4 linked regions of the Pelodiscus sinensis genome follow. The protein of the gene in region 2 interacts with the protein of the main gene of each other region in a pairwise test. Links are inferred from orthologs where the notes say so. Each region holds a gene or a part of one and is shown on either strand. Other genes may lie near its edges.

What was found.
Region 1: the proteins of CEP70 (region 2) and METTL17 interact in binary tests that used the Homo sapiens proteins (3 or more experiments, as listed by UniProt). The link is inferred for Pelodiscus sinensis from reciprocal best matches to the Homo sapiens genes CEP70 and METTL17.
Region 3: the proteins of CEP70 (region 2) and BRMS1 interact in binary tests that used the Homo sapiens proteins (3 or more experiments, as listed by UniProt). The two-hybrid records come from large-scale screens. The link is inferred for Pelodiscus sinensis from reciprocal best matches to the Homo sapiens genes CEP70 and BRMS1.
Region 4: the proteins of CEP70 (region 2) and SYTL4 interact in binary tests that used the Homo sapiens proteins (3 or more experiments, as listed by UniProt). The two-hybrid records come from large-scale screens. The link is inferred for Pelodiscus sinensis from reciprocal best matches to the Homo sapiens genes CEP70 and SYTL4.

What each region holds. Positions count from the first base shown.
Region 1 is NC_134740.1:14,323,211-14,330,433, reverse strand, and holds the start of METTL17 (ribosome assembly protein METTL17, mitochondrial), read left to right. Parts: upstream 1-4,216; 5' UTR 4,217-4,302; coding exon 4,303-4,374; intron 4,375-5,323; coding exon 5,324-5,477; intron 5,478-6,126; coding exon 6,127-6,276; intron 6,277-6,726; coding exon 6,727-6,823; intron 6,824-7,223. UniProt on the Homo sapiens protein: Mitochondrial ribosome (mitoribosome) assembly factor. Binds at the interface of the head and body domains of the mitochondrial small ribosomal subunit (mt-SSU), occluding the mRNA channel and preventing compaction of the head domain towards the body.
Region 2 is NC_134717.1:12,118,378-12,125,512, forward strand, and holds the start of CEP70 (centrosomal protein of 70 kDa), read left to right. Parts: upstream 1-4,131; 5' UTR 4,132-4,234; intron 4,235-4,268; exon of another isoform or gene 4,269-4,422; intron 4,423-4,451; exon of another isoform or gene 4,452-4,930; intron 4,931-7,135.
Region 3 is NC_134721.1:32,358,132-32,366,129, forward strand, and holds the start of BRMS1 (breast cancer metastasis-suppressor 1), read left to right. Parts: upstream 1-4,988; 5' UTR 4,989-5,155; coding exon 5,156-5,160; intron 5,161-5,425; exon of another isoform or gene 5,426-5,447; intron 5,448-6,346; coding exon 6,347-6,492; intron 6,493-6,804; coding exon 6,805-6,895; intron 6,896-7,151; coding exon 7,152-7,279; intron 7,280-7,998. Other genes in the region: B4GAT1 (beta-1,4-glucuronyltransferase 1), read left to right, coding at 1,163-2,245, 3,050-3,241. UniProt on the Homo sapiens protein: Transcriptional repressor. Down-regulates transcription activation by NF-kappa-B by promoting the deacetylation of RELA at 'Lys-310'. Promotes HDAC1 binding to promoter regions.
Region 4 is NC_134723.1:4,978,546-4,986,299, forward strand, and holds the start of SYTL4 (synaptotagmin-like protein 4), read left to right. Parts: upstream 1-4,752; 5' UTR 4,753-4,888; intron 4,889-4,896; exon of another isoform or gene 4,897-5,069; intron 5,070-5,106; exon of another isoform or gene 5,107-5,237; intron 5,238-7,754. UniProt on the Homo sapiens protein: Modulates exocytosis of dense-core granules and secretion of hormones in the pancreas and the pituitary. Interacts with vesicles containing negatively charged phospholipids in a Ca(2+)-independent manner.

The sequences.
Region 1 (7,223 bases), on a different chromosome or scaffold from region 2:
CACGGCCGCCGGCCAAGCCGGATCCTGGCTCCAGAGACACCCGCTCCCAGCCGGGCCCCCAGGGTGGGGCGCTGCCCGGGCACCAGGGTGGGGGCGATGGGCCCCGGCTCTCACGCATCCGCCCTGCAGCAAGGGGGGGGGGTCGGGTCAGCCCTGCTCCCCAGGGGAGTGAGGGGGCAGGTGTCCCACCCCTCCCCCGCCCCCGCTCTACAGGAGAGGTGGGGGCCCGTGGGGGGGGGGGTCTGCCCATCCCGCCGCGCCTGGGGAGTCTCAGGGCAGTTTTCTTAAACAAACACCTCCGGGCCTCAGTTTCTCCATCCGGAAAATGGCGCCAATCACCCACAGCTCCCGCCTGAGATCAGGGTCCCGTGGGGCCGGGCGAGCCCAGACCCGGCCGAGATCGGGGCTCCTTACAGAACAGAAACTCGCCCCCCCCCCGTTCATGTGCAGCGTGAGATAAAGGGGGGTTTCCAGAGCAGGGCAGGGGAATTAGCCCCCTGTGGGGAAACTGAGGCACAGGGCCCAAGGGACTTAGGAACCGAGCCCCAGCCTCCTTTGCCCCAGTGACCCCCCCGAGGGGTCTGTAGCCTGCCCATGGAGCCCAGCTCGCCCCCCCCCCCCCCATGGTGCCACCCCAGCACCTGGCTTCGGAGGCTCCCGGCTCCGTAGCTGGTGCCCAGGGCTTTGCACCCTCCCTCGAGCTTCCCCCGCCCCCCCCCTCAGCAGCTCCGGGTGCCCGCAGCCGGCTCCAGGGAGCCCGCCCCGGCCAGCCAGGCGGTATAAAAGGGGCCGGGCCGGGCGGGAGGTCAGACGCGCAGCTCCGGCCCCGCGCTCCAGCAGGTGAGGCAGCGGCTGGGGGGCAGTGGAGGGCCCTGGCCAAGGGGGCAGAGCTCTGGGCTCGCCCGGTCCCCAGAGAGCCGCTGGGACGGACAGACGGGCCCACGGGACGGGACGGCACCGCCCGGGTTCTCCCCCCGGCTCTGGGAGGGAAGCGGGGGCTAGTGGTTAGAGCAGGGGGGCGTTGGGAGCACTTGCCAAGTGCTGGAGCAGTCTGTGCAGCCGGGGGCGGCTCCTGCCTCAGTTTCCCCTCCCCCCCGCGTGCTGTTGCAGGTGGCGATGGGCCCCGCCCGGCTCCTCCCGGCGCTGCTGCTGGCCGGCCTGCTCCTGGGGGCGGCGGCCCACGGGCCCCCCGACGCGGCGTTCCTGCGGCGGCACCAGGACAACCCGCGCAGCGCGGCCGGGCCGGACTACTGCGGGGCGCTGCTGCGGCGCCGCGGCCTGGCGCCCCCCTGCCCGGCCCTGCACACCTTCGTCCACGCCTCGCGGGCCCAGCTGCGGGCCGTGTGCCGGGAGGGCGGCGCCCCCTCGCCCGGCCTGCGCCGCAGCGCCCGGCCCCTGGCCCTCACCACCTGCGAGCTGCAGCACCGGCGGGGCGCCCGCTGCCTCTACCGCAGCCACGCCGCCGCCCGCTACGTCGTGCTGGCCTGCGAGCACGGCCTGTGGCCGGTCCGGTACCACGAGCCGGCGTGACCCCCCGGGCCGCCCTGCGCTGGGCCTGCCCCCCGGGGCCGGCAATAAAACCCCTTTGCTGGCACAGACGTGGCTGCGTGTGCGCCAGGGCTGTGGGGCGGGCAGGGGGCGCTCTGCCCTGGCAGGTAGAACTGGCCCCAGGGTGGCACTAGGGGTCCTGTGGGGCAGGGAGGGGGCGCAGCAGGGGGCGCTCTGCCCTGGCAGGCAGAACTGGCCCCTAGGGGGCGCTGTGGGGCAGGGAGGGGGCACAGCAGGGGGCGCTCTGCCCTGGCAGGTAGAACTGTCCCCAGGGTGGCACTAGGGGGCGCTGTGGGGCAGGGAGGGGGCACAGCAGGGGGCGCTCTGCCCTGGCAGGTAGAACTGGCCCCAGGGTGGCACTAGGGGGCGCTGTGGGGCAGGGAGGGGGCACAGCAGGGGGCGCTCTGCCCTGGCAGGTAGAACTGTCCCCAGGGTGGCACTAGGGGGCGCTGTGGGGCAGGGAGGGGGCGCAGCAGGGGGCGCTCTGCCCTGGCAGGTTGAACTGTCCCCAGGGTGGCACTGGCAGGTTGAACTGTCCCCAGGGTGGCACTAGGGGGCGCTGTGGGGCAGGGAGGGAGCTCAGCAGGGGGTGCTCTCCCCTGGCAGGCAGAACTGGCCCCTAGGGGGCGCTGTGGGGCAGGGAGGGGGCTCAGCAGGGGGCGCTCTCCCCTGGCAGGCAGAACTGGCCCCTAGGGGGCGCTGTGGGGCAGGGAGGGGGCGCAGCAGGGGGCGCTCTCCTCTGGCAGGCAGAACTGGCCCCTAGGGGGCGCTGTGGGGCAGGGAGGGGGCGCAGCAGGGGGCGCTCTCCCCTGGCAGGCAGAACTGGCCCCTAGGGGGCGCTGTGGGGCAGGGAGGGGGTGCAGCAGGGGGCGCTCTCCTCTGGCAGGCAGAACTGGCCCCTAGGGGGCGCTGTGGGGCAGGGAGGGGGCACAGCAGGGGGCGCTCTCCCCTGGCAGCCTCACTACTCCACTCCCATCTCCAAACCAACCATCTTGGGTCAGAAAAATGAACGGAGCTCCCCGCTTCGCCCGTCTCCAGTCCTGCCCCAGAGGGAGTCTATGGGACCCGGCCCAGCAGCCTTTGCCCTTTGCAGCTATTCAGCAAAGCCCTGCAGCGGGCGGGGAGAGGGAAATGTTTAACCTGCCACTCTAGAGAACGGGCAGCCAAGAGTTTCCTAAGAGCTGGCTCAGGCGCCCGCATGGCCCAGGATCCAGGCACTCAGTATCCCACGGCGCTGGGGGGCGTTGCACGGGATTTGCAGAGAAGGAGCGGGGTGCTGTTGTTTCAAAGGGCCAACAGGACGTCCGGGTTCATCGGAGGCAGGTCACCCTGACCTCGGTCCTGAGCAAAATCACGAGGCAATTACAGGTCCGCAGCCAAGTACCATCACTAGTGAAGAGCAGGCCGGAGCCTGCGCACAGATTGGTGTTTTTCCGGGGTGCTAAAGGTACAGGAGCTGCCGTACCCCTGCAAAGCGTGCACTGCCCAAGGCTCTGAGGGCGGGAGCCGGCAGCTGGGAGCCGCACGCACCGACCGGCCTCGCCAGCTGTGAGCGAAGGAAACGAAAGCCGGACGACCCTTCCCTGGCTGCGCTGTCCACTCAGAGCCAGCAACGCGGCCTGCTTGCAAGCAGTCCTGGGGGGAGAGCCTCGATGCTGCCGAGGGGATTTAGGCGCATGTCTGCCCCTAAGATCTAGCTGAGCGGCCCAATGTCTCCTAGGGGATTTGGACGCGCAAGTCCCCCTAATTTCAAAGGGGAGTCGGGGCAGCTGTCAGGTGCTTGGCAGGCCCGTCTGAGTGTGCGGCGGGTAAGATTCCCCCCAGACCCACCACACAGCGCTCCAGGGAAAGGGGCCTGTGAGATCTGCCTCTCCCCAATTCAGGGGGGCCCACTCCAACGTGACCCACCTGGGGCTGTGCCAAGCGCATTGGGCACCCAGTGCGAGTGGAAATTCCTCCAGCTGGCACTCGGCTGCTGTGGGGCTGCGGCGGGGGCTATGGGGAGCTATGCCCGACGAGGGTCACGGCCCCCCGGCTGCTCCCTGGGCTCTGCAGCCCGGGCCTGGCTCGCTCAGCAGCTCAGCTTCCCTGGGGGCGTGTGCCCACTTGGCCCCCTCCCCTTATACAGGGGACCCAGGGGGACCTTCACTGTGGGGGGGTGCAGCGAGGGGCCCGGGCAGCAGGGGGTGCAGGCTACACCCCCCGGCATCGCCTGGGCACAGCTGGGGGGGCAGGGACAAGCCCCCAAATCCCGGGCAGGGACAAGCCCCCCCCATTAAATCCAGCCCCAAACCAGTGTCAGCTTCGTGGCTCCAGGCTAAGTTCTGCCCCCCATTAAATCACCACCCCCAGGCGGCGGGGCGGGGCGGGGCGGGGGGAGCAGCCCGCACGCTGCGCAGGTCCACGGGCCGCTCCAGCTGTGCGGGGGGGCTCGTGTCGCGACATGACGCGGCCAGCGCCGCTTTGCCCCTCCCCGCGGCCCGACCTCAGCGGGCCGGCCAATGGCGGGCGAGTATGCAAATGAGGCAGGGAACACCGGCGGGAGGGGAGATCGGGCCAATCAGGCAAGGGAGAGAGCGCGTGCGCGCGGCGCGTGCCTGAGACTCGAGCCACCGCCTCCCCGGAGAACCTTTAGGCCCCGCCCAGCCGCAGCTCGCTGGCCCAATCGCCGCTCCCGCCACGGCGTTCGAACCCCCTCATTTGCATAGACGCTGGCGATTGGCCAGTACTGGGGGCGGGGCCGAGCGTTCCAAGATGGCGGCGCCCGTGGCGGCGCGGCGCTGGCGGGGGCTTTGGGGGCCTCGTGGCGGCGCGTCCCCGCTCCGGGTGAGTGACCCCCCCCCGCCGGGCTCATGAATAGTCATGAGCGGATTTGCATAAAGGGCGCGGGCGGAATAGAGCACGTGACCAGCCCCCCCTCCCCCGGGATAGCTCCGCCCCTCCTCTGACCCCCCCCCGGGCCATATAGCCCCATATGGACCCCGCCCATAGAACCCTGCAGGGACCAGACCCCCCCGGGCCATATAGCCCCATATGGACCCCGCCCATAGAACCCTGCAGGGACCAGACCCCCCCGGGCCATATAGCCCCATATGGGCCCCGCCCATAGAACCCTGCAGGGACCAGACCCCCCCGGGCCATATAGCCCCATATGGACCCCGCCCATAGAACCCTGCAGGGACCAGACCCCCCCCGGGCCATATAGCCCCATATGGACCCCGCCCATAGAACCCTGCAGGGACCAGACCCCCCCCCCCCCGGGCCATATAGCCCCATATGGACCCCGCCCATAGAACCCTACACGGACCAGACCTCCCCCCCGGGCCATATAGCCCCATATGGACCCCGCCCATAGAACCCTGCACGGACCAGACCTCCCCCCCCGGGCCATATAGCCCCATATGGACCCCGCCCATAGAACCCTGCACGGACCAGACTGCCCCCCCCCCCCCCGGCCATTTAGCCCCACATGGACCCCGGTCGTAGACCGCTGTATAGATCAGACTAGGGATGTCCACAGCGGGGAGGGGGCAGGCTGCCTGTACCTACCTTACAACTGACCTGGAGCCACTTGGGCCATTTAACCCTGTATGGACTGTCCATGGAGTCTGCTGCTGTGCATCCTCTCAGGGCCGCATCCCCCGTATGGCCTTGCCCCCTCACTGCCAACTGGCTGGGCCGGCCAGCCCCACGTGGAGCACCCAGGCAGGCCGTATAGGGCCGTATGGACTGGCTCTTGGAGCCCTGCTCTCCTCATGCTGCTCTCCCCACTTAGGCCTTCGCCACCGTCATCCCAAAGGTGTCTCAGGTGGACAACTCCTCCGACTTTCTGGGCAGAGTGCCCCACCGCCGGCACCCCGGGGTGCTGCACCTCAAGACCGTGCAGCTTCCGGCCGAGCTGGTGAAGGCGGCCCAGCTGCTGGTGGAGCGTAAGTCACCGTGGGGCGCGAGAGGGCTCCGTGCTGCCGGAAACAGGGCAAGGGGCTGGGGGGGGGGGGGCTGCTCCTTGCGCTGCTGTTACCCAGTTGCCCTGCCCCAGAGCTGGCTGCATTTCCCCTCACGGGGAGCCAGCCCCAGACGCGTTATATGTGGCTGTTACCCAGCTGCCCTGCCCCAGAGCTGGCTGCATTTCCCCTCACGGGGAGCCAGCCCCAGACGCATTATATGTGGCTGTTATGCAGCTGCCCTGCCCCAGAGCTGGCTGCATTTCCCCTCATGGGGAGCCAGCCCCAGACGCGTTATATGTGGCTGTTACCCAGTTGCCCTGCCCCAGAGCTGGCTGCATTTCCCCTCACGGGGAGCCAGCCCCAGATGCGTTATATGTGGCTGTTATGCAGCTGCCCTGCCCCAGAGCTGGCTGCATTTCCCCTCACGGGGAGCCAGCCCCAGACGCGTTATATGTGGCTGTTACGTAGCTGCCCTGCGCCAGAGCTGGCTGCATTTCCCCTCACGGGGAGCCAGCCCCAGACGCGTTATATGTGGCTGTTACCCAGCTGCCCTGCCCCAGAGCTGGCTGCATGTCAGCACCACTGCTCGATTCTCCTCACTGGGTCCTTTGTCTCTTTCTCCCCGCACCAGAGTCCACCATGCAGGGGCTGAAGGACAAGGTGGAGGGCCTGACCAACTACCTCTGGAGCCGGAAGCGCCCCCTGGAGGCCACCGAGCTGCAGCGACGGGGGGTGCAGCTGGAGCAGCAGCTGCGGGAGACCCTCCGGCCCCGCACAGAGGGTGAGTGCACACCCGGGGCAAGAGGAGAGAAAGCTGCGGGGACGGGGTGGGGGGCTCTCCCTGTGCACTCAGCGCTGGGTCCTGCTGCTCCCCCCTTCCCCTGCGCTAACCACTATCCCCCGCTCCTCCCCCAGAGAACCCAGGAGTCCTGGCTCCTCCTCCTTGCCCCCCCCATGTAACCACTAGCCTCTACTCTCCTCCCAAAGAACCTGGGAGTCTGGGATCCCAGCCCCTCCTGCTCTAACCAGTAGCCTCTACTCCCCTCCCGAATAACCCAGGAGTCTGACCCCCCCCCCAGCCACTAGCCCCCACTCCCCTCCACGAGCCAGAGAGGGAACCCAGGAGCTCTGGCGCCCAGTCCCCCCGCTCTAACCACTAGTCCCATTCCCCTCTCAGTAAACCCAGGAGTCGTCCCCCCAGTAATTGCTTAACCCTGTTTCTCCCCGTCAGACCCGCCCGGCCCCTTGACGGACGCTGAGGAGCAGAGGCTGCAGAGGAGGGTGCTCAACAGGCTGCGGAAAACCACCTACCACTGGGAGGAGCTGAGGTGGGCTGGGTCCCCCGCTCTGCCGCGGTGCGCCCAGCTCTGGGGAGGGGCCCGGCCGGGTATATCGCCCAGCGCCGAGGGGCGCCCAGCTCTGGGGAGAGACCCGGCTGGGTATATCGCCTTGCGCCGAGGGGCGCCCAGCTCTGGGGAGGGGCCCGGCCGGGTATATCGCCCAGCGCCGAGGGGCGCCCAGCTCTGGGGAGAGGCCCGGCCGGGTATATCGCCCAGCGCCGAGGGGCGCCCAGCTCTGGGGAGGGGCCGGGCCGGTATATCGCCCAGCGCCGAGGGGCGCCCAGCTCTGGGGAGGGGCCGGGCCGGTATATCGCCCAGCGCCGAGGGGCGCCCAGCTCTGGGGAGAGGCCCGGCCGGGTATATCGCCCAGCGCCGAGGGGCGCCCAGC
Region 2 (7,135 bases):
GGCAGGGCTTGGAGCCGCTGTCATGCCACACGTCACCACCCTGCCCCCCCTTCGCCTCCCACCATGGCACTCGGGTGACTTCTGCTCTGCTCAGCCAGGCCGCCACGGGGGAGCAAGCGGCGCAAGCAGCTGTTTGGGCCCCGCACTCCCCATGCAGCATGGGCCGCTCAGAGGGAACAGCCAGTATTTCAGTAACAGTGCCGCCCAGAGGGAACAGCCAGCATTTCAGGCAACAGCGCCCCCCCAGAGGGAACACCCAGCATTTTGCGTTACAGACTCACAGACAATGGGCTACTATATATATGATTATACTGTAAATCTTTTCTAGTCTATTAAATTCAATCTTAACAGTTAAATAAATATCATATAATTGAGTAAATTAAAGAAACTGCAGTTAGTTCAATGATTTTCTAACTTTTGTCTGCAAACCCCTAGAGGGCTGCAGACTATGTCTAAGATTTCCAAATGGTTCTGTGCTTCCATTTGACATTTTTAGGGGTCTGCATCTGAAAAAGTGTTGAAAACAAGTGGCTTAGGTAATATCTAATGTGTGTCTACATGCATGTAAATGGTGCATGCATGTATTATGTATTCATGTCAAGAAAATAATATGCACATCTATAGATCTTATCAGAAATGACCATTAAATTTCAGATTGCAGACATTTCCAGACCAGTTTATACTGAATTGAATGTTCTGGCATTGTTCCTTTTTACCTTACTTCATCTTCATAGAGAGTAATCTCTTCACGGGATGCCATAGTAACCAATACGGCCTTAAATCCAATTAGCAGCAAGGAAAGAGAAAAGCAGAATAGCAGCAAAGAAAATGTCGAGTACTGCAGTTCCTCTTAATTAAGAAGTAATCCTTTTTCCAATTTAATATCCATTTTCCTCATTCTTTACATTTAACACACAGGGATATTTTCACAAGAACTTCCACTAACCCTAACATAAAAAATGTAATATATTTCTACACTTGATACAACACAGGCAAATATAAATCAGTACCTGAGCTGAATATTTCACTTAATTTATATTTGCAATTTATCCACAAAGGTTAAGGGGACATAATGGAAGACCTTTTGATTAACTTCAGGTCAAAAGGCTAAGATCCTCTGAAAGAGATTCACTCCAGATCAAAGTTTTGTGTGTCAAGCATTTTTCCCTTTGAGATATGTCAGTTGAGTATGTAATCGTAGTGAAAATTCACAGGACAGCTATACCAAAAAACAGAATGTACATAAAAACGATACACAAAATGCAGGGAACTTGTAGAGAATGTAGTCTCAAAGAAAAACAGGAAAAGAGCTTAACACAAGAGGAACCTGGGAGGATATGAGGCTTAATGTGAAAGATACTTCAAGTTCTTCATTCTCGTGATTATTCCAGAACAAGATATTGAACAAGTACTATGGACTCCAGAACATTTATTTAAGGCTACATTGCATTTCCAACAGATGTGGTGAGTTGCCAAACAGCCACACATCAGCCCTTCACACATCCTCTATACCTGTCAAAAATGCATATGTTCTGGAACACCATAATCAGTGCTTAAGGATGTTAAGTAGTAGGTAACTGACTAATCATGTACTCGATACAATTTGTATCGAGTACACGATTAGTCAATAAGGGGCACAGTTGCAACTGCAGTTTTAAATATCGTAGGAGCCAGGCATGCAGGCAGCCCAGCTCCTACTGTATTTAAACTGCAGAGCCGCAGATGGTGTAGGTCCCATATCCAACACAAGCTGGGACTGCTGAGTCCTGGCTCATGCCGGGTCTCGATCTTACCCTGCTACAGCTCTGCCTTTTAAATGTAGCAAGGGCCAGGCAGCTCTTACTACATTTAAAAGACAGAGCTGCAGTGGTGGACCCGACGAGAGCTGGGACTCAACAGTTCTGGCTCACACCAGGTCCCTGACTACTGCATCTCTGTCTCCCCTGCACCACGAAGACTGTGCTAGGGGGAACCAGCTTTTAAGCCGGCTTCCCCCAGCACTGCTTCCCCTCCCCTGTTTACTGACTCTATATTAGAGGCAGCAAGGGAGCGAGTAGTCAACTCGACTACCCGATAAGCCTAGGCTTATCAGGTAGTCCACTAATCAACTACTATTTTACATCCCTATCACTATTTTCCCTTCTCCAAGCTTCTGCATTGTATCAAGGCATTTCAATTAATCTATCATTTTTTCCCATTAATAGAAATGCTTGGAAAAACGATAAGGATATTTGATCACATATTAAACTATAACATACTTTTGAAATTTAGTACATATTAGTCCGCAATACTCCTAGAATGTTGTCACTTATTTATCTATTTTGTTGAATTTTGTTTTTCTATCCTATTTCCATTGTGTCAATGTTTTATATACGTTCTGTTAGTTTTTTTAACCTAGTCTTTAATGTAAAATATAAACATAAGTTAAAAAGACCACTCAGTATGTCCCTGCTGCTGCCCCTCCTCTATGCCATCTTTAGAAGTCCAGAAAACTTGTAGCAATGGAGTCAGATTCACACTGATGTTATTTCTTTTATATTCTTGGTTTAGGGAGAGAAACCACATTGCTACCAAGCTTATTACAACATGGGATGCTGATTTTAATGACAGTGCAACTGAAATATGTGATGAAGCAGAATATTTCTGTTGGAAGGAAGGGGGCTGAAGGGAACAAAGGTCTTGCCCACATCAGCTCCTTCCGCAGTTATGGCAACTAGCCCGAGCCTCATGTTGTGGAATAGAAAGCTGCAAAGGCCACTGCCTTCCTCTCAAGAGGACCACCAGAGTCAAGCTCTATTTGGTATGTTACTAGGCTGGTTTACTGAAGACCCTCAGCACTTCTCATCAGCATGTTAGTAGTTGAACTTGACCAACTAAACTTAGGAAGTACATTTATGACAAATCACCTAAACAGCACCCTCATCTCAAAATAATCTATGAAATTTGCGCTACACAAATTGTGTATCTTATTTCAAGGTTATTTTAAAATAGTTTATTTCAAAATGTAGTCCCTTAACCCTTGTTCCACAAAGGTTACAGGGATTCTGGAATAGCGCATTCGTTATTTTGAAATAATGGGCACCTTTAAAGACATGAAATTGCTATTTTGGGATACTTCCGGTATCTCGAAAAAGCGCCACTGTCTAAACGTACCATTAGAGACTAACAAAAATACATACAGCTTCAGAGGGGTAGCCGAGTTAGTCCGAACAGGATAACCTTAAAAAACAACAGATAGTTTGGTAGCACTTTAAAGACTAACAAAAGATGGAGATGGTATCATCCAGCTCCATGTTTTGTTAGTCTTTAAAGTGCTACCAGAGTACGTGTTGTTTTTTAAGGTTATAAAAATACATACAGTATCATGAGCTTTTCTGGGCAAAACCCACTTCCTCAGATGAGATGATCTCGAGTGCCTGGGTTTTGGCCAGGAAAGCTGGTGATTCTCTGTAGATGTTGTCTAGGCTGGCGGCTCAAGACGCTGGTTTTTTAAGTTACAGACTAACAGGACTTGTTCCCGGGAGAGCGCCAGTCCCAAAGCGCGAGGGGCGGAGTTGCCCGTGTGTCCCCCACCGCCACCGGGATCTCCAGGGCGGCCAATGAACAGGGGCCACTTGAATAAAGCAAAGGGGCAGAGGGCTCCGAGGCGCTCCCCACGCGGGATTAGCCCGGCGCTCGGGGCAGTGACCGCGGAGCGGGGCGCTGCAGGCCAGGCTGGGCGGAATCGCAGGGACCGGGGGGGGGGGGGTCAGAAGCCGCCCAGGCCCCGCTGGGCTCTGGGGTGCGACGAGCCGGCAGCGCCCCCGAGGAGGAAGGGCGCCAGCCTGCCCGGGGCTTCTCGTACCTGGGCGCGTCTCGCTGCACACCGCTCCCCGCCGCCGCGCTCCCTCCGGCCCCCGCGGCCAAAATGGCGACAGGGGCAGGGAAGCGACGCGCCGCGCATCGATCAGCGCGACCGCCCGGCGCATCCACTGGCAGCGCCGCTGCCGCCGGGCCGGGCCGGGCCGCGCGCGCCCTGGGGGCGGGTGGACTCTAAGGCCGGTAACGGGCAGCGGGCCAGGCGCGAGCCAGGGCGCTGGGGGCGGTTCCCTCGTGCCGGGGCCTGGGAGGGGCAAGCTCCGCCTCCGCCGGGGCGGGGCCAATCGCCGCCAGCAGCGTCCTCTGGCTCCGCCCCTCCTCAGTTGTAACGGTCGCGGCGGAGCGTGTGGCGGCCGGAGGCTGAGCTCGGGGCCAGGTGGGGCGGGGCTGGTGGCGAGCGGGGTGGGGGCGGGCGGAGCCGTGGCCCTACCGGGACATCCCCCCTCCCCGTGCCGCGTGCGCGGGTCCCGGCCGCTCAGTGGTTCCGTCCTCGCCAGGCCCGGTGCAGCGCCGCCTGCGCTCCCCTCCCCTGAGTCTCCTCGGCTCCCTTGCGGGCGGCGGCTGGTGAGCGGGGCCAGGCCGGCTCTTGCGCTGCCCCTCCCCGAGGGCCAGTGGCAGCGCCGGCCGGCGGGGTGCCGGGCTCTGGGGGGCAGGGTCTGGAGAGCGGGTGCTCGGCGGAGACCGCAGCAGCCGCGGGGAGCGGGGCAGCATGGCCGAGGCTGGGTCGTAGGTCGGCAGGTTTTGCTGGGTGAAGGAAGAGGGGTTTTTAGCCAGTCAGTGAGTGTTAACAGCAGGGGGCTAACGCAGGCATTTAACCAGCCGCCCTTGGCCAGAATACCCCCTCATTAAATACCCATCGTCTGCCCTTGTGGCCGGCAGCCGGCCTTGCAGCTGCGCTCCAGAACAGCCCTGGTGGGGATTGCCAGGTTTTGGAGCACTCAAAATCTACTCGCCTGGGCCCCCCAGGCTCTGGTGTGCAAGGGCAGTGTGGGGAGTGTCATCTCTGGGCACAAAATACGTATGTGCACCCAGCTGACTTTTCTGTGGGTCAGCGGCTGCTCATTGACATCAGGTATGTAAGGTGGGGGAGGACTGTGCCAAAGCATCAGGCATAGCCCCGTCCACACTCCGCTGTAAGCGTTCTGGGGGCGGAGTGTTGCTTCCCCCTGCACCAGCACTCCCAGTGCTCCAGGGTTGGGGAGGCCAGGCTTGGCTGCATGGCATGCTCTCTTCCCTCCTTTGGTGTTCTGGGACTGGACAGGCTGAGCTAGACTGGGCTGTTCCGTGCAGCATGGCCTGCCTCCTCTCTCCTCCAGTGCTCGAGAGGCTGGGCTCGGCCAGGCCACGTGGCATGTTGCGCTTTCCAACAGTGCTGGGGAGGCTGCGGCGACTGCACACCTCCTCCCCTCGGTTGGAAGGGGGGAACATGCGTGTGGTGTGCCATCCTGCCTCCTAGGAGATAAGGAAAGGTTGGGGCTGGAGGGGTTCCCCATCCCTATTCTGGAGGCTGCTGCAATACATGGGTTGATCTGTATCACAATCGGCTAACTACGTTAGTGAGTGGGCCGCATGAGTGGTCCTCCTTCATCTTGGTTGCAAGATTATCATAACCAAGATGGCCTCCCAGAATAGTGTAGTTTTCCTAACCTAGTTTTGCATACCTAGCATTTGTCAGGTGTGCTGACTGAATTGTGTGGTCCGTACTCATCTCTTTTCACGTGCCCTTGCTTTATGTGAACGTCACTTTAGCAATATCAGTCGGGGGAAAAAATTAGATGGAGACCAGCAGAATCTGGCAACCTTGCACTTGGGCAGTGGTGAACAAAATGTCTTGCAAGCCACACATTGAACTTGGGATGTTAATGTATAGTTGGTTACACAGTTAACCGATAAGCCCAGGCTTATTGATTAATCATAACAACTACATGCAAATTCCCTCCCCCCTTACCGCTTCTGATATTTCAAAGGTGGAAGCCGGTGTCTATAGGAAGCCAACTTTTAAGCTGGGTCCTTGTGCTTGCCGCCTCCCACAGAGCCATTTGCCTCCCACAGAGGCAGTAGCGTGGGGGAGGTGGGAGCTGACTCCCCCCTGAGCACTGGCTTCCCCCCCGCGCTGCTGCCTATAATAGGCATCAGTGCCCGAGGGAGAGGAAGAGCAGATGGGAGCTGATACACACGGGGAGCTGGCTTTTAAGCTGAATCTCTGTGCATGCCTGCTCTACAAAAGCCCCCACCTCCCTTTGCTGCCTCCCACAGAGGCAGCAGTGAGAGGGAGAGGGGCTTCTGCATGTCCACCTCCTCTCTCCCCATGTTGTTGACTCTTTGGAAAGTGGCGGGGCAGGGCGTCACGAAATCCAGCATGTGCGAAGAGCCAGTTTAAAAGCCTGCTCCCCATGCATGTTGGCTCCTGCCTGCTATGGCCCCTTGGAGCTGGCACGTAAGGCAAGCCAGTTTTCAAGTCAGCTCGCCACTGCTTCCCACAGAGGCAGCAGCGCTGGGGGGGAAGTAAAAGGGGACCAGAGCTCAAGAGATCCAGCTTAAAAGCTGGCTCCTGACAAGCACTGGCTCCTAGGTAACCGCCTGCTCCTCTCCCCGATGCTGCTTGCTCTTTATCGGGGGCAGCTGGGAGCTGGTGCTTGCACCTGTCCCCCTGCATGTAAATGTGTAACTGCTAAAATTTTCAGGGGTTAGACATTTACACAAATGATAGTTAACATTCCTACATTGAACTCTGATGGGCCATAGGTTGCCCACCACTGGTCTGTATTGCATCTTGCACTGTAATATAATGGTACAGGTTGAACCTCCCAAATCTGGGACTCTGGTCCGGCAACATCCGTGGTCTGGCAGGGCCAGCGATGTTGCTGGACCAAACAGCCCTGGAGCAACATAGGGCTGGGGAGCCCCAGTTGGGCCAGGCTGCATTTCGGGAGCCCCTGTGCTGGCCTGGAACCCCCAGCATCAACAGGGAAAGCCAGTGGCTTAGGACCCTTAGCCCCAGCCAGGCTCCTGCCCAGGCTGGGGAAGCCCCCGTGTTAACGAGGCCACATGGCTGGGGAGTCCCGGTGTAACCCTCTACTGAAGTGGGGCTGGCAGAAGCGGGCAGCCGGAATCCCCAGCGATGGTGTGGACCTGGCTGGGGAACCCCCAGCGGCAGGAGGGCCGACGGTGGCCGGGTGGCCCTAGTTGGGAACTCTGGAGAACACCTGGCGGCAGTGGGACCAGCAGCGGCCAAGCGATCCCCGCCAAGAACCTTGGGACACCCTGGGGCAGTGGG
Region 3 (7,998 bases), on a different chromosome or scaffold from region 2:
TGCTCTGGCTTCTGGGGGCAGCCTTCCCCAAAAGCTGTGCCTTTCAGCCATGCAGCCTCCCCTGGGAAACAAGTCTTGCCTAGGGAGGGGAGATTGCTACCTCCTTCTCTGCCATCCCCCCCATGAGAAAGCACACCTATCGCATTCAAGGGTCTCCCACTGGGCCCTCCAGAGAGTGACAAATCACCTGCTGTCTGCACCCATCTAAGTGGGAGTGGTTGGCCCTACCTGCCGCTACAAAAAGCTACCTTGCTTTCATATTGCTAAGGTAGTTTATTGGTAAGTCTAATACAGTTCCCAGCCTGCCACCCCATTGACAGCCCCTGGGCTATAAGAGTTCCAATATGTTATTTCACCCACCTGAAATCCACCCTGATTCTGCAAACACACACCCCTCTACCAGCATTATCCTCAGGGGGAGTATGGGAGCTGAGAGGAGACTACAGTGCATGAATGGAGCCAAGTTGAAAAGCAGGTGCAGTTGCGAAATCCATAAACACCCCCATGCATCCATGTCTCTTTTTTGCACAGGAAATAGTGTTCAGAAAACAGTGCCCGGATATCTCTCTTATGATCCCAAAAAGAACCCGACGAGGGTGGGATTCGAACCCACGCGTGCAGAGCACAATGGATTAGCAGTCCATCGCCTTAACCACTCGGCCACCTCGTCTTCTGTGTGGGAATGCTCCTGTCATTTCCTCATACCCCTGAATGTGTGGAGCGGGCAAGGGTGCACAAGGAGAGGTGGGTCTGCTTGTGTATAGGGGGTGTGATTCCCCCTGCACTGTCCTTTGCACTCACGCCCCTGCCTGAACACCACGTCCCTCTCTCTCTTGCGCTCTCCGAGCTGGGCACTGGGTGCAGCCATGGGGGCGTGAACCAGCCCGGTGCAATGGTCACAAGAATCTCCCCCCCCCCACCAGGTCACTCCCCTGCACCCCCGTCCCCGGCGGGCGGGGCGCGCTGACGAGCCGGCCTGCAGTGGCTCCTCCCTAGGGCAGGTGGCGCGCTGCCGCAGCGACGGGTGCCTCCATTCCCGGCCTCCCGGCCGGCTGCATACAAGGACAAGGAGCTGGAGCCGCCCGCTGCCTGCGCCGGTCCCCCATGGCGAGCATGGGCGCAGCGAGCCGGGCCTGAGCGCGGTGCCCCGGCCGCGGCCGGCATGCAGAGCCCCGCCAGATGCTCCTTCTTCAAGGTGCTGCTGTGGGCGCTGGCACTGGTGGCCCTGCTGCAGCTGCTCTACCTGTCCCTGCTCTCGGGGCTGCACGGGCGCCAGCAGCGCTCCCGCTACTCGGAGCTGTTCGGGGGGCGCCGGGGCGAGGCTCCCGGCCGGCCCAGCGAGCAGCAGAAGGAGCAGCTCAAGCGCGCCCTGGCCAGCGGCGGGCGGCTGGATGCCAGCGGGCAGTACCGGATCTACACGGACATGCTGGGGCCCCCGGAGCGGGCGAAGCGGGCGCCCGACTTGGTGCTCGCCACACACACCAGCCTGAGCAACCTGTACCAGCTGCAGGAGCTGGTGGGGCGCTGGCAGGGCCCGGTCTCCGTGGCGCTCTTTGCACCGGGCCCCGCCGAGGTGCGGCTGGCTACGCTGATGCTCTACGCCCTGGGGACACTGTGCGGGCCAGTGCGCCAGCTGGTGAGGGCCCACCTGGTGTGTCACTCGGGGGACCTGGCCGCCTTCCCAGAGCTGGAGGACCGGGCGGAGTTTGCCCGCTTGAAGGCCTGTGGGGATGTCTTCGCCAAGCTGGCACGGGCCGGGGTGGGCAGGCGTAACTATGCCCTGGGTGCCAACGCCTCCTACCCCAACAACTTGCTGCGCAACGTGGCAAGGGGAGCAGCCACTGGGCACTACACCCTCGTGCTGGACGTGGACATGCTGCCCAGTGAGGGGCTGCGTGAGGCCTTTCTGGCTCTGGCAGCAACCTTGGGTGCTGAGGGGCCACCGGGTGTCTTTGTGGTGCCCGCCTTTGAGATTCGGCATACCCGGCGCCTCCCAGGTGCCAAGACCGAGCTACTGCAGCTGTATCAGGTGGGGGAGATCCGGCCGTTCTACGAGGAGCTCTGCCCGCGCTGCCAGGCCCCTACCAACTACTCACGCTGGCTGAACTTGCCCTTGGGCAGTCCCCTGAACACCGCCTACGCCGTGGAGTGGAGGGACCCCTGGGAGCCCTTCTACATCAGTGCCAACTCTGTGCCACCCTACGATGAAAGATTCAAGCAGTATGGGTTCAACCGCATCAGCCAGGTACCTGCCTAACTGGGAATGGGGGGGCATTAGTGCCATGGGAGACACCCCAGAAATACACCCAGCCTCCCCAAGCGATGGAGCAGGGTGTCCTGACCCATGGGTGAAACAAATCAGGGAAGTCTCATCCAGGTGATCTCCTGATCACTGGACAGCCTCAGGCCATGCTTACTGAGCCTCATAGAGACACAAGGGCAAGAGGAGTGATTATTTCCTTCCTTGCAAGGGGGTTTTGGCCCTGATCCAATCGTAGTCCAAGAGTATTTGCTGGCTGGAGAAGAGAAGCAGCACAATGTAGGGACATTGTGCTGCAGGGTGGAGGGTTCAGTAAGAGGTGCTTTCACCTTGCATTCAATGCTATCCTCAATGCCCAAGGCTGCACCAGGAGGTGCTGTAAGTATACCTGTTAGTGGCATCCGTCCAATTAGATGTAAAATGCGCCTTGGCCCCTTGTGTTCACTAAAGACCATTTGTCCCTTTTTCTACAGCTTCAATCCAGTGAATTTCCACTTTTTGTCCTGAATTGTAGTGTTCTGTGAAGCTGTGAAATAGCTTCCACATCCCATACTGCATCTGAGCACTGGGTGAGGGATCCCTGTATAAAACAGCTCCAATGCCCCACCCCAGAAGCAGCTGCATCTCAGAACCAGGGGAAGGATCCCTCTATAAACAGCCTGCACACTCCACTTTAGAGGTAGCTGCTTTTCTGCACTTGATGTAACAAAGTGTGGGACACTTCAGAGTCCAATGAGGGTGGGGGTTACTCTGGTTTCTCCTTCACAGCTCTCCTGTCCCCTTTTGTAGGCATGTGAGCTCCATGTGGCTGGGTACAGTTTCTCAGTGCTGAACAATGCTTTCCTGGTGCACAAGGGCTTCAAGGTGCCAAGTGAGTTCCATGCACAGAAGGATGCTGAGAATCAGCGCAACAAGGTGCTCTTTCGCCAGTTCAAGCAGGAACTGAAGCTGAAGTATCCTGGCTCACTGCGCCGATGCTGATGGGCCTGCTGTCTTGGGCACAGCTCCTCAGTTCTGCCTTCCCTATGACTCTTCAACTGTAGCTTTGGTGTCAGTGTTTTTTGGGGGGGCCGTGCCCTCTCTTTTTCATTGAGTCATTAACGCTCACATCAGACAAAGGTTTATAGTTAGGGGGGAATCTTTCCAGTCACATCACTCTGGCTCCTTCACCACTCCCAGCCTATTGCTGGGATTGTGTATCCCTTTATCCCTTTCTTCCAATTCACTTCAGCATTCTCCTCCCACAGTTTTCCATTCAATATCAGACTATCTCAGAACAGAGGACTACCACACCTGGTCTTCTGCCTGTGTGGGTAGAAATCAGCTGTTTCCTCCATCCACAGTTCTCTTGTTATGATTCTTTCCCTCTCTGAGCAGAGAAGGGGGCTGTTCTGGATTCAACAGCTCCCTCTCCCTTTCTGTAAGTGGCTATGGGTTGAGAACCTAATATAGCAATTAGAGGAGGGAGAGTCAGGACTTCTGGGATCTTTCCCTAGTGCTGAAAAGAGAGTAGAGGTTAGTTGTTAAAGAATGACGTGTTGAAATTCAGGACTTCTGAATTCTGTTCCCAGCTTTGTCACTTATTCTATTTGCCCCAAGACCCTTCCACTTTGTGCACCTCATTTTTCCCCTTTGTAAAATGGGAATAAATGCACTGACCTACCTCCTGAGGGCAGGGGGCATGAGGCTTAATTTATGAAGATGCTCAATGCTGTTTGGTTGGGACTGGCAGAGTGCTCTTGTCCTCTGGCACTGTAGGGAATGGCCTGGCATTCCGTCGCCCTGCGTGCAAACTTTAGGTTGGAACAATAAAGTACTGTGGAGGCCAGGAGCTTCTCCTCATGGCTGTGTCCTGCTGTGGGTCCTTTCTGTAGCGCCGGAGGCAATGGTGGAATGTATCTGTCCCGCACAGGGCTTGGCTCACTGTGTGGCACTATGGGTGGGGCTGACTCCTTCATGTGCCAAAGCAGAGGCTCTCCTGCCAATGAATCCATCCTGCTCATGATCAGGAGAAGGGAATTGAGAGCCACACACCCTTGGCTTCTCTCCAGGTACTTGGCTGTTGGGGGCAGTCCCATGACAACACTGTGCTTGTGCACCATGGCAAGGAGGCCAAAGGCATTGTACTGAGGCGGGACTGGGACTGGGTGCCAAGTGTTATAGCAATTCTGGGACTGGAGCTGTGGCAATGCTTCAGTGACACTGCACCAGGCTGTGATGACTCTGCCCAGGAGCCACTACAACACTGACTGGGTCCTCTGGAGATGTCATGACCAAGCACCATGGCATCAACTCGACTAGGTACCATGGTGATGTGTCACAAGCAGGTGCTGCGGCAACACCAATTCGGGGGGTGCCCGCCCTTTAGCCAACTTTCGATGGATGTGGTCATCTCAGGCTAGGCTGTGGGTCTGTTGCCATGGGAACACGTCTCATCCTCCACTATCCCATAAGGCCCGGAGTAGTGGGCAGCTGGGAACCATAGAGTCAACGGCGCGCTGATTAATTGGTGTCCCTGATTGGCTGCAAGAAAATAAGGTGGGGCCAGTAGCTACGGGACTTCCGGGTACGGAGAAGCGAAGCAGCTACGGGAGGGAGGCCGCCGGCCTGGACTCCCGAGGTACGTGGGGCTCAGAGCAGCGGGAGATGGATTCGTCCCAGCTTCCCCCTCATGGGGTGCTGGGTGGTGCGTTCCCCGCTGAGATCAATAGAAGCCAGGATAGAGCTTGCGCAACCCAAGGGAGAAATTCGCTTCCTCCCCTGCTTGTGGAACTTGTTGGTTCCATCCCCGTTGAACTCAAGGGAGGGCAGGCTGGCCCATTACAACCGCAAGGGGGAAACTTACAGCGACGGCCGGCGCAGATTATTGCAACTCAGGGGAAGGTTGCGGCCCCTATGTTGTGGGTATTCAAAGATCCATTCCTCGTGAAACGTACTGGCAGCGCAGACCATTGTAGCTTGGGAAGGGGGTGCACTGTATCCTACTTCACCCCCCTCCCCCATCATGGGGACATGAATGACACCTTCCAAAACAAATTCAATGAAACTGGGAGATGCGAAGAAATCTCGAGGGGAGGGCGAATTGTGGCCTTCTGGTGTGTGTGTATGTGGGCTCAGTGGTATCTTCCCCAACACAGGCATAGACTAGAGCAAACGGTGTCAATTGGAGGGGGCAGTTATAGCATTGGTATGTTCCTCGGAAGTGAGCAGAAAATGGGAAATACCATTCTCATGGAGGGGGGTTCTCCCAGCATTGCGTATGCAGTAGTGAGCCCATTATGGGATATGGGCCAGGCCATGGTTACAGAGCGAGCAGGGGGCTGGGAGCCAGGACTCCTGGGTTCTGTTACTGGCTCTGCCTGTTTTCCCACCCTTAGCCCTAGCTGTCTATGGGGCTTGGGTGCCCCATGGGGTCTTGGGCCTATTGGAAGCCAGGTCCCTGCATTGTTGGCAAGGAGGGAGCAGCTCCCATCCGCAACTTAGGCTCATGGCAGCAGATCTCTGGGGTCCCAGCTCCGCTGGGGTCAGCACACATCGCTGCAGAGTCGCAGCACATGTCACAATGCCGTAGCAATAGCAGCTGCCAGCACCTGGCTCCCTGACAGCATCTCGGCAGCTTTGCGGGGTTTCCCCTACAAGGTGGCTGCACATGACAGTGCAGTGAGAACAAGGAGGCGCTGTCCCTGTGCCAGCCCCATGGCAGGATGACTGGCTGGCTGGGTGTGGGATGGGGAAATAAAACACCTCTGCAAGGTGCTGGCTCTGATCTAGCTCCATGTGAATCAAGTTGTGGGTTTTGGCGTTGCTCCCAATGGAGAAGGTTGCTACTTCCTTGGCCAGTGGGAAGCCTTGGGAGCTCAATGGGCTGTGGCGATTGGGGCCTACTAGCTGAGGTTGCCCTGGGGCAGGGGGATGCAAATTGTCAAGGGTTGCTGTTGGTGTGGTGGAGCTACCCATATTCACAGTCTGGGCACATGGGGTGTCCCATGGTTTTGTGGGTAGCTGTCCCTGGCCAGGTGTGATGGAGGAGGGTGGGAGATGCAGTGAAACAAGACCCTCCTGGATCACCTGCCATTGATCACCTAGAGTGCCCATGCCGGTGCATCCGGTGCCCAAGGAGGCCGAAGAGATGGAGGGGGATGGGGACTCGGCACCTGAGCTGAATGGTGAAGAGGAGGAGAGCGAGGAAGAACGTAGTGCCAGCCCTTCTGAATCAGAGGAAGAAAGCTCAGGTATTTGAGTATGGAAGGGGATACAGGGAGGGGCTTGGCCTTTTATCACAAGGCGGTTCTGGGATGTGGCTCTGCTTCCAGGGTAAAAGCCATGACCCCAGTGTCCTCTCTCTGGACTCCTAAGTTATGTTCCCAGCTCTGGGAAGAGTGGGGGGTATTGGGGGATGGGGCTGTGAATCAGGACTCCTGGGTCCTATTCTTCTATTTACTCCTAGCTGTGTGTGTGTGACCTGGGTGAGTGTCCTGGCTCTGTATGCCTCTGTTGCCCTGGTCTGTGTGTGGCCTGTAAGATACATGTGCTGTGCCCTGCAGAAATGGATGAGGAGGACTGTGAGCGGCGCCGCAGCGAGTGCCTAGATGAGATGTGTGACCTGGAGAAGCAGTTCTCTGAGCTCAAAGAAAAGTGAGTCCCCTCTTGGATTCCCCATCTTTTAGGTGCCTGTATCTCAGTGCCAGGCAAGAGATCCTGGTATAAACTGTCCCTGCTGCACCCCACCCAAGAAATGGCCGCATCTCAGTGCTAGCTAATGCTGTGGGTTGGCAAGGGCTGAGCAGGCCTATGCTGGGTGTGGTGGGCAGAACTGGACCATGCTGGGTGGTGTGAGGGAATCCCTGGGGTGGACAGGACTCTGCTCAGTACCTGCTGGTGCACCCTGCAGGCTGTTCAAGGAGCGGCTGAACCAGGTGAAGGCCAAGTTGGAGGACGTGGCATCGGGGCGGGCTGCCGAGTACCTCGACCCCCTGGGTGTCCTGCAGAACAACATGAAGATCCGTATCGAGGTGGCTGGTGAGCTCATGGCCTTGCCCATGTGTTAGCTGTATCCCCTGCTGCCCCACAGGGGACTGGTTCCACTGCCGTGAGGAGTGGAGGTTCCAGGGCTCAGTACCAGGACCTGGGAGGAGGGGACTGTCCCATGGGCTGTCCTGGTCTGGGCAGGCCTCAGAGGGCAATTGATGGCTCTAAGGGAGCAGCAAGGCTCTGGAGATGGGGCAGTTGGGTTTAGGGGGGCCCAGATGCAGTGTGGCCCCGGGGGGAGTGGGAGGGAAGGGTTCAGAAGAAGGGAGGATGGATGGTAGAGATGTAAGTGCCTGTAGCAGAGGCAGCAAAGGGCATGGGGGAACAGGAGCTGGTGCTGGGGGGGAGATGGCTTAAAAGCCATTTTCCCCCCAAGCACCATCTCTGTGGTGCCGCCTCCCCCCCACCTGCTGCTGCCACTATAAGAGGCAGCAATGAGGGGTAGGTCAGGAGGGGCTGCTGCCATGAAGCAGCCTCTGCCCACGGCCAGCCTGGGCTGCCATGAACAAGACCTGTTGCTAGAGCAGCTTCTGTTCATGGTGGCCCAGGCTGGCCAAGGCATGGGCTGTTGAACCCAGCACAAGCTGGGACTGAGCAAATCTGGCTCAGTCCCAACTTGCGCCAGTCCAGGATTTTAAATGTAGTAAGAGCTGCCCGGCATGAGCTGGGATAGAGCACCTTCCCTCATCGACTGATCGTGTAGTCAGTAC
Region 4 (7,754 bases), on a different chromosome or scaffold from region 2:
GGTAATCAGGTTGTTGAGACAATGTCCTTTCTGGTTGCAATGGCAAGAAACTGTTTTTCCTTTGTGATCCTGTCTAATATCTCTTTTGTGGGCGAAGTGTCTGAGACATTTGTCCAATGTACATAGCTGACGGACACTTTCGGCACATGATAGCATAAATTATATTTCTGGATGCGCAGGTTAGTACTTGATAATCCCCCATTCAAAGCTTGCATTAGCCCTCTTACCATCGCATCAGTTTGCGAGGATTCATATATTTGGTTGTCCGGTATGATCTCTGAGTCCTTTAGGGTGTGTCTACACAGCAGCATAATTTCGGAATAACAGCCATAAAATAAATATGAAATAACAGACGGCTTATTCCGACTTCTGTAAACCTCATTCCACAAGGAATAACGCTCATTCCAAAATAGCTATTTCGAAATAGCTGTAGTGTGGACGTTCCACTGCTGCTATTTTGAAATAGCTCCTCCCCAGGGCCATTCAAACTAATTACTCTCCAGTGCCTGCTAAGGCTCTAAATGGACATAGCACATCCACATTAGGGGAGCCTGCCTCGGACTAATTTTGAGGCTTCTCTGTAGTGTAAATGCGCTATTTTGCAATAAGCTATTTCAGAGTATTTCTTCTGGAATAGCTTATTCCTAAATAAGTGTACAGTGTAGCCGTACCCTTAGTCTTCCTCTTTCACACCCCCCATTTACATGGACTAGTCTAGGGAATGCAGAGCAGAATTCAGATATGTGAGGTCCCAAGATTAGAATTGCAGGGGGCATTGGTCTGTGTGTGCATGTGTGCACAGTTGTATATCCACAGTAGACTATCTGGGCTGCAGCATGTCAGAATTACCGTGTGCTAGGAGAGTGGTGTGTAGGCCCAGGACTGCAACTGTGATGATCGGGGGTGATGTGGGGGCGGCCAGAGAGAAACAAGGCCCGTGTGAACTGTAGGCTCACAGTGGAGGAGACTCAGGCGGCAGTCCCCACATAGACGAGCAGGCAGCTATCTACAAGGTGTGACCTGATAGGCTGTAGTGGTTGGGCCCACGTAGCTGTAATGTTCTGAATATTAGAAATGTCTCCTGGGTTAAACTTTTTTCAGTCGCTTAGGCTATGTCCACACTCGCGGCTTCTTGCACAAGAAATATGCAAATGAGGCTGAGCGTGGAATATCGCCGAGCCTCATTTGCATACCTAATGAGCCGCCAGTTTTGCAGAAGAGGCTCTTGCGCCAGAGGTAGCTGTCTACACTGCCCCTTCGTGCGCAACAGAAACCCTCTTGCGCAATGCTGTTCTTCCTGAAAAGTAATTGGTGTAACAGCATTGCGCAAGAGGGTTTTTGTTGCAAAAGAAGGGGCAGTGTAGACAGCTCCTTCTGGCACAAGCGCTTCTTCTGCAAAAATGGCGGCTGCTTAGGTATGCAAATGAAGCTCGGTGATATTCCACGCTTAGTCTCATTTGCATATTTCTCACGCAAAGACGCCGCGAGGGTAGACATAGCCTTACTGTGTCTTGTTGTATTGTACACTGGCTGTGCACTAACGTGATCCTTCTTTACTGAGTAAACTGCATGTCCCTTCCTAGGAAGGAAATACCTACATTTTCTAGATTTAGGAAAATGTTTACATTTAGGACATTCCTAAATAGGAACTAGAAGAGTGTATTGGACTCCCCTCCCAGGGTTAGAATTCACAATGCAGATCCCCACTTCTTTGAGTTTGATCTTCTCTGACTAGGCTGACGGAAGCATTCACTCCCCTCACAACATGAAAAAATGCATCACTCCTAGCAGTATTGGCTTGTGTGTGCTACCTTGGATTGCCCAACAGTAGCTCGAGGTGGGAATATGCTGCAGGTCAGGATTAAGATTAAGCGGCGGGCGGGCCCCAATACTGGATTAGCAGTGTGGTTGGAGATCAGCAGCAAGGTGCATTGGCAGTGCTGTGTGTGTGTCAGAGCTGACACCTGGCTGGCCTGCTTCGTGCCTGGCTCCAGACAAGTCCTGCCTGTCAGCCTCCTTCAGCATCACAGAGCAACTGTCAAACCCAACCTCATGCAAGGCTGTTCAGGCAGCTGCTGCTTGGTAGGATGGGTGTTCGGGGGAAAGGGGTGAGAGGGAAGCTCTGCTGTGTCACCTAAGCAAATGTTTACTGAGCAGCCATGCTCCTGAGAAGTGTCAGACACCCCCAAATCGTAATAATTGCAGGTATTCTGTATTGCTCAGGATTGGGCCCACAGCACAGCCCTTTTCATTATTGCTAAGATGGGGGGACATCCTGTTAGGGGCTCAATGTGAGTCTTTCTCAATGTGAGTGAGTTTCAGGTTGTGCGGTGTGTTACTGGGGCAGCTTTTCACCCCAGGAGAGGGGCTCAGCTGTGGCTCAGGGCAGGCCACAAAGAAAAATTAGTGGCATGGTTCTTGGCATGTGCTTAGAAATATTTGTTCATATGGCAGCAATCACCACACACAACCGGGGCAATGCCAGACAGGTCCACATTGCCCAGTGGCCTGCACCAACACTGGCCACCCCCAGCATCTGCAAAAAGCCCCAGAGTAGACAATTCAGAAATAGCCTTCCTACGGGTGTCTCACCAGCAAACTGAGTTCATTGTTGGCTTATATCTTTAGAAATAAGTTCATATCCCTTAATTTATGAAATCCTTTCATCGAACTGGATACTCTCCTTGTCCACATTCATGTCAAGCTCTTTCCTGTCTTGGAGCAGTGAGTTCCACAGATGATTATGCATCACATAAATAATGCATTTCCTTTCATCTGTTTTATATTTGCTGCTTTTCAGTGTCATTGACTGCCTGCTTGTTCTTGCATTGTGGAATGGGGTTACTGGGGTGGGGGTTGGAACAGGGCAGGCGTTGGCTCAGGGTGGGGCGATACCAGGGTTGGGAGAATGGAATAAGGCAGGTGCTGGCTCCGCATGGGGGTTACTAGGGCTGGAACATCGTGGGGGTTGGTTCCGGATGGAGTTTACCAAAGTGTGTATGGGGGGGCTGAGGCAGGGTAGGGGCTGGCTGAGGGTAACGGTAACCGGGGCAGGGTTGGCTCAGCATGGGAGTGACTTGGACTGCAGGGGCTGGAACAGCTCTGGGGTTACTAGGGCGGGGGCTGGGGGGGCTGGAATAGCTCTGGGGTTACTAGGGCGGGGGTTGGGGGGGCTGGAATAGCTCTGGGGTTACTAGGGCGGTGGTTGGGGGGCTGGAATAGCTCTGGGGTTACTAGGGCGGGGGCTGGGGGGGCTGGAATAGCTCTGGGGTTACTAGGGCGGGGGTTGGGGGGCTGGAATAGCTCTGGGGTTACTAGGGCGGGGGCTGGGGGGGCTGGAATAGCTCTGGGGTTACTAGGGCGGGGGTTGGGGGGGCTGGAATAGCTCTGGGGTTACTAGGGCGGGGGTTGGGGGGGCTGGAATAGCTCTGGGGTTACTAGGGCGGGGGCTGGGGGGCTGGAATAGCTCTGGGGTTACTAGGGCGGGGGTTGGGGGGCTGGAATAGCTCTGGGGTTACTAGGGCGGGGGTTGGGGGGCTGGAATAGCTCTGGGGTTACTAGGGCGGGGGCTGGGGGGCTGGAATAGCTCTGGGGTTACTAGGGCGGGGGTTGGGGGGCTGGAATAGCTCTGGGGTTACTAGGGCGGGGGCTGGGGGGCTGGAATAGCTCTGGGGTTACTAGGGCGGGGGCTGGGGGGCTGGAATAGCTCTGGGGTTACTAGGGCGGGGGCTGGGGGGCTGGAATAGCTCTGGGGTTACTAGGGCGGGGGTTGGGGGGCTGGAATAGCTCTGGGGTTACTAGGGCGGGGGCTGGGGGGCTGGAATAGCTCTGGGGTTACTAGGGCGGGGGTTGGGGGGCTGGAATAGCTCTGGGGTTACTAGGGCGGGGGTTGGGGGGGCTGGAATAGCTCTGGGGTTACTAGGGCGGGGGTTGGGGGGGCTGGAATAGCTCTGGGGTTACTAGGGCGGGGGCTGGGGGGGCTGGAATAGCTCTGGGGTTACTAGGGCGGGGGTTGGGGGGCTGGAATAGCTCTGGGGTTACTAGGGCGGGGGCTGGGGGGCTGGAATAGCTCTGGGGTTACTAGGGCGGGGGCTGGGGGGCTGGAATAGCTCTGGGGTTACTAGGGCGGGGGTTGGGGGGCTGGAATAGCTCTGGGGTTACTAGGGCGGGGGCTGGGGGGCTGGAATAGCTCTGGGGTTACTAGGGCGGGGACTGGGGGGCTGGAATAGCTCTGGGGTTACTAGGGCGGGGGTTGGGGGGGCTGGAATAGCTCTGGGGTTACTAGGGCGGGGGCTGGGGGGCTGGAATAGCTCTGGGGTTACTAGGGCGGGGGTTGGGGGGGCTGGAATAGCTCTGGGGTTACTAGGGCGGGGGCTGGGGGGCTGGAATAGCTCTGGGGTTACTAGGGCGGGGACTGGGGGGCTGGAATAGCTCTGGGGTTACTAGGGCGGGGGTTGGGGGGGCTGGAATAGCTCTGGGGTTACTAGGGCGGGGGCTGGGGGGCTGGAATAGCTCTGGGGTTACTAGGGCGGGGGCTGGGGGGCTGGAATAGCTCTGGGGTTACTAGGGCGGGGGCTGGCCCCGCATGGGGGTTCCCAGGGCAGGCTCAGGCTGGGGCAGGGGCTGGCTCAGGGCGGGGGTCCATTCCCGGGGCGGGAGGGGGGCGCTAGTGACCCCGTGCGCGCTCCACCCGCTGCCCCCGGCCCGCTCCCTTTCCGTCGGGCGCAGGTGAGTGGGGCGCGGCCCCTTTAAGGCTCAAGCCCCGCCCCCCGGGGGGGAAAGTTTCAGCCGGGCCGGCAGGCGCCGCAGGTAGCGCTCCGGGCCCCGCCCCCGGCTGCTGGGAGCCCCTGGAGCCGGGCGCGGCGGCGGATCGGGGCGGCGTCCGCAGGCAGGTCCCGGGGCCGGGGTGCGGGAAAGGGGCCCCCGCCTGACGCTCTGCCGGCCCTGCCCAGGGAGCCGGCCCCGGGCCCGCTGGCTGCGAGCCGCGCTTCGTGGCGCTGCGGGCGCGGCTGGGCTTTGGGAGAGCGGAGCCCGGCTGGCTGCGGACGCGTTCCCCTCCGGAGCGAGTGGTGAGCGAGCGCTGGATCGCTGTGGCCCGTGGGAATATGGGCAAGTGGCTGCAACTGCTGGAAAATTTCAGTGGTTCCATGGTTAAACCGGCTCCCAGCGCGCCCTGACTCCAGCCTGCCAGCCTGCTCCCTGCTCCCGGCGAGCCAGCTGCTGTCTCGGATACAGAGGTAGCGGCGCGGGGTGACAGCCGGCTCCCCCAGTGCAGAGGTAGCGGCGCGGGGTGACAGCCGGCTCCCCCAGTGCAGAGGTAGCGGCGCGGGGTGACAGCCGGCTCCCCCAGTGCAGAGGTAGCGGCGCGGGGTGACAGCCGGCTCCCCCAGTGCAGAGGTAGCGGCGCGGGGTGACAGCCGGCTCCCCCAGTGCAGAGGTAGCGGCGCGGGGTGACAGCCGGCTCCCCCAGTGCAGAGGTAGCGGCGCGGGGTGACAGCCGGCTCCCCCAGTGCAGAGGTAGCGGCGCGGGGTGACAGCCGGCTCCCCCAGTGCAGAGGTAGCGGCGCGGGGTGACAGCCGGCTCCCCCAATGCAGAGGTAGCGGCGCGGGGTGACAGCCGGCTCCCCCAATGCAGAGGTAGCGGCGCGGGGTGACAGCCGGCTCCCCCAATGCAGAGGTAGCGGCGCGGGGTGACAGCCGGCTCCCCTGGAGCAGAGCTGCTGTGTCTGATACAGAGGTACCAGCGTGGGGTGACAGCCGGCTCCCCCAGTGCAGAGGTAGCGGCGCGGGGTGACAGCCGGCTCCCCTGGAGCAGAGCTGCTGTGTCTGATACAGAGGTACCAGCGTGGGGTGACAGCCGGCTCCCCCAGTGCAGAGGTAGCGGCGTGGGGTGACAGCGGGTTCCCCCAGAGCGGAGCTACTGTGTCTGATACAGAGGTACCAGTGTGAGGTGGCAGCCAGCTCCCCCAGAGTGGAGCGAGAACCTGGGCAGAGCCGTGAACGTTAACCAAAATGTGCAGGGTTATTTGTTAACCGTAAACTTTACATGGTTAAACGGTCACATCCCTAGGGCAGGTGGTGCAATCCCTGTGATGCGCGGTGTGTGTGTGTGTGTGTGTGTGTGTGTGTGTGTGTGCATGGCTGCTTAAGCTGGTCCAGAATCTGCTCCCATTCCCTAATTGTTGGTTTCTAGCCCTGGGGCAGTTCAGGGAGGAGAGGAAGACTTGCAGCTTGTGTTGGGCGTGGGGAGTTTGTTTCCCTATCTGTTCAAGGGCCCCTGGTATCTTACACAGCAGTCCCAGGCTTCCTGCTGCAGGAAAGGGCCATGACTCTAATAACTCAGGTCCCTGCTTTGTTCTGCTTGTGGGAGGATGCATTCATTTCTATCTATGAGGCGAATGTCCTGTCATGAAAGAAGGAGGGCTGACATCTACCCAGATAGAAGCAGTATTTGTCTTACATGCTTGGACAGTGCTTGGTGTGCATGTGGAATCATAGCTATCGGACTGTTGTGTTGAAAGCTTCTCCACTTGATAGATGCAGGTAACCTTCCTCCAAGTCACTTTCCTAATTAGAAAACCTTAAACAACGAATAGTCTAGTAGCACTTTAAAGACTAACAAAACATGTAGATGGTATCATGAGCTTTCGTGGGCACAACCCAATTCAAACCTTCATCCATTTGCAAATATTTTCTCCCTTTGCCAGAGGTGTTCCTGTGTTGTAGCACACTGGGAGACCGGCCAACTTCAGATGGTGCAAGCAAGGTGGATTTGTTTACAGGTGCAGAGGGGTGTGTGTGTGTGTGTGTGTGTGTGTGTGTGTGGGAGTGTGTGTGGTTGGTATAACTTCTGTGGTCAGAAGGTGTAAATTGGAGAATTTCAATTCACACCTTGCAGTCACTTTTGTGTTATCCCTTTGCCATGCCATACGTCAGAAGCTTGAATCTGAGGACCCAATCCAGAGATTGTGTCGAAGCGGGTGGAGGGGTGGAACAGCTTTCATGTGAGGACAGATTAAGACAACCAGGACTGTACAGTTTAGAAGAGAGACTTCTAAGTATGGCTCTGATAGAGGTCTATAATCATGACTGAGGTGGAGAAAGTGAATAAGGAAGGGTTACTTACCCTTGGGGTAACCCATGAAGCAGGTATCAATGAAATTTATAGGCTGAATATTTAAAACAAAAGGAAATGTGGAAGTCAACTTGTGGAACTCATTGCTAGGGGAAATTGTGATGGCAAAAGTATAATGGGGTTCAAAAAAAGAATTAGACCAGCTTGTGGAAGATAAGTCCCTCAATGGCTATTAGCCAAGAGAGTTGGGGCCATGCTTTGGGTAGTCCTAAACTTCTGACAGTTGGAAGCTGGGACTGGATGGTAGGGGATGGATCATGTGATAAATTGCCCTGTTCTGTTCATTCCCTCTGAAGCACCTGACACTGGCTGCTACTGGAAGACAGGATACTGGGCTGCGTGGACCCCGTATGTCGGCTTGTCTGACCCCGTATGTTCATTCTTACAGTCTAAAGCCGTGGTGTCCAATGTGCTTGCTATCATGTCTGTTGCTTCAGAACTGGTTGGACGCCACGGTTCTAAAGGGTCTGGGTTACGTGTAGGAAAGTGAGAGTTTCAAGTCCAGCTGTTGTAATGCATATGCAGAGTGGATTAGAAGCAGGTGCGATCTAAAGAGGTAAGCCCTCCCTCTGTATGAACCAGAGTTGGCCCCGAGTGTATGCACTTAAACGTAGGCGAG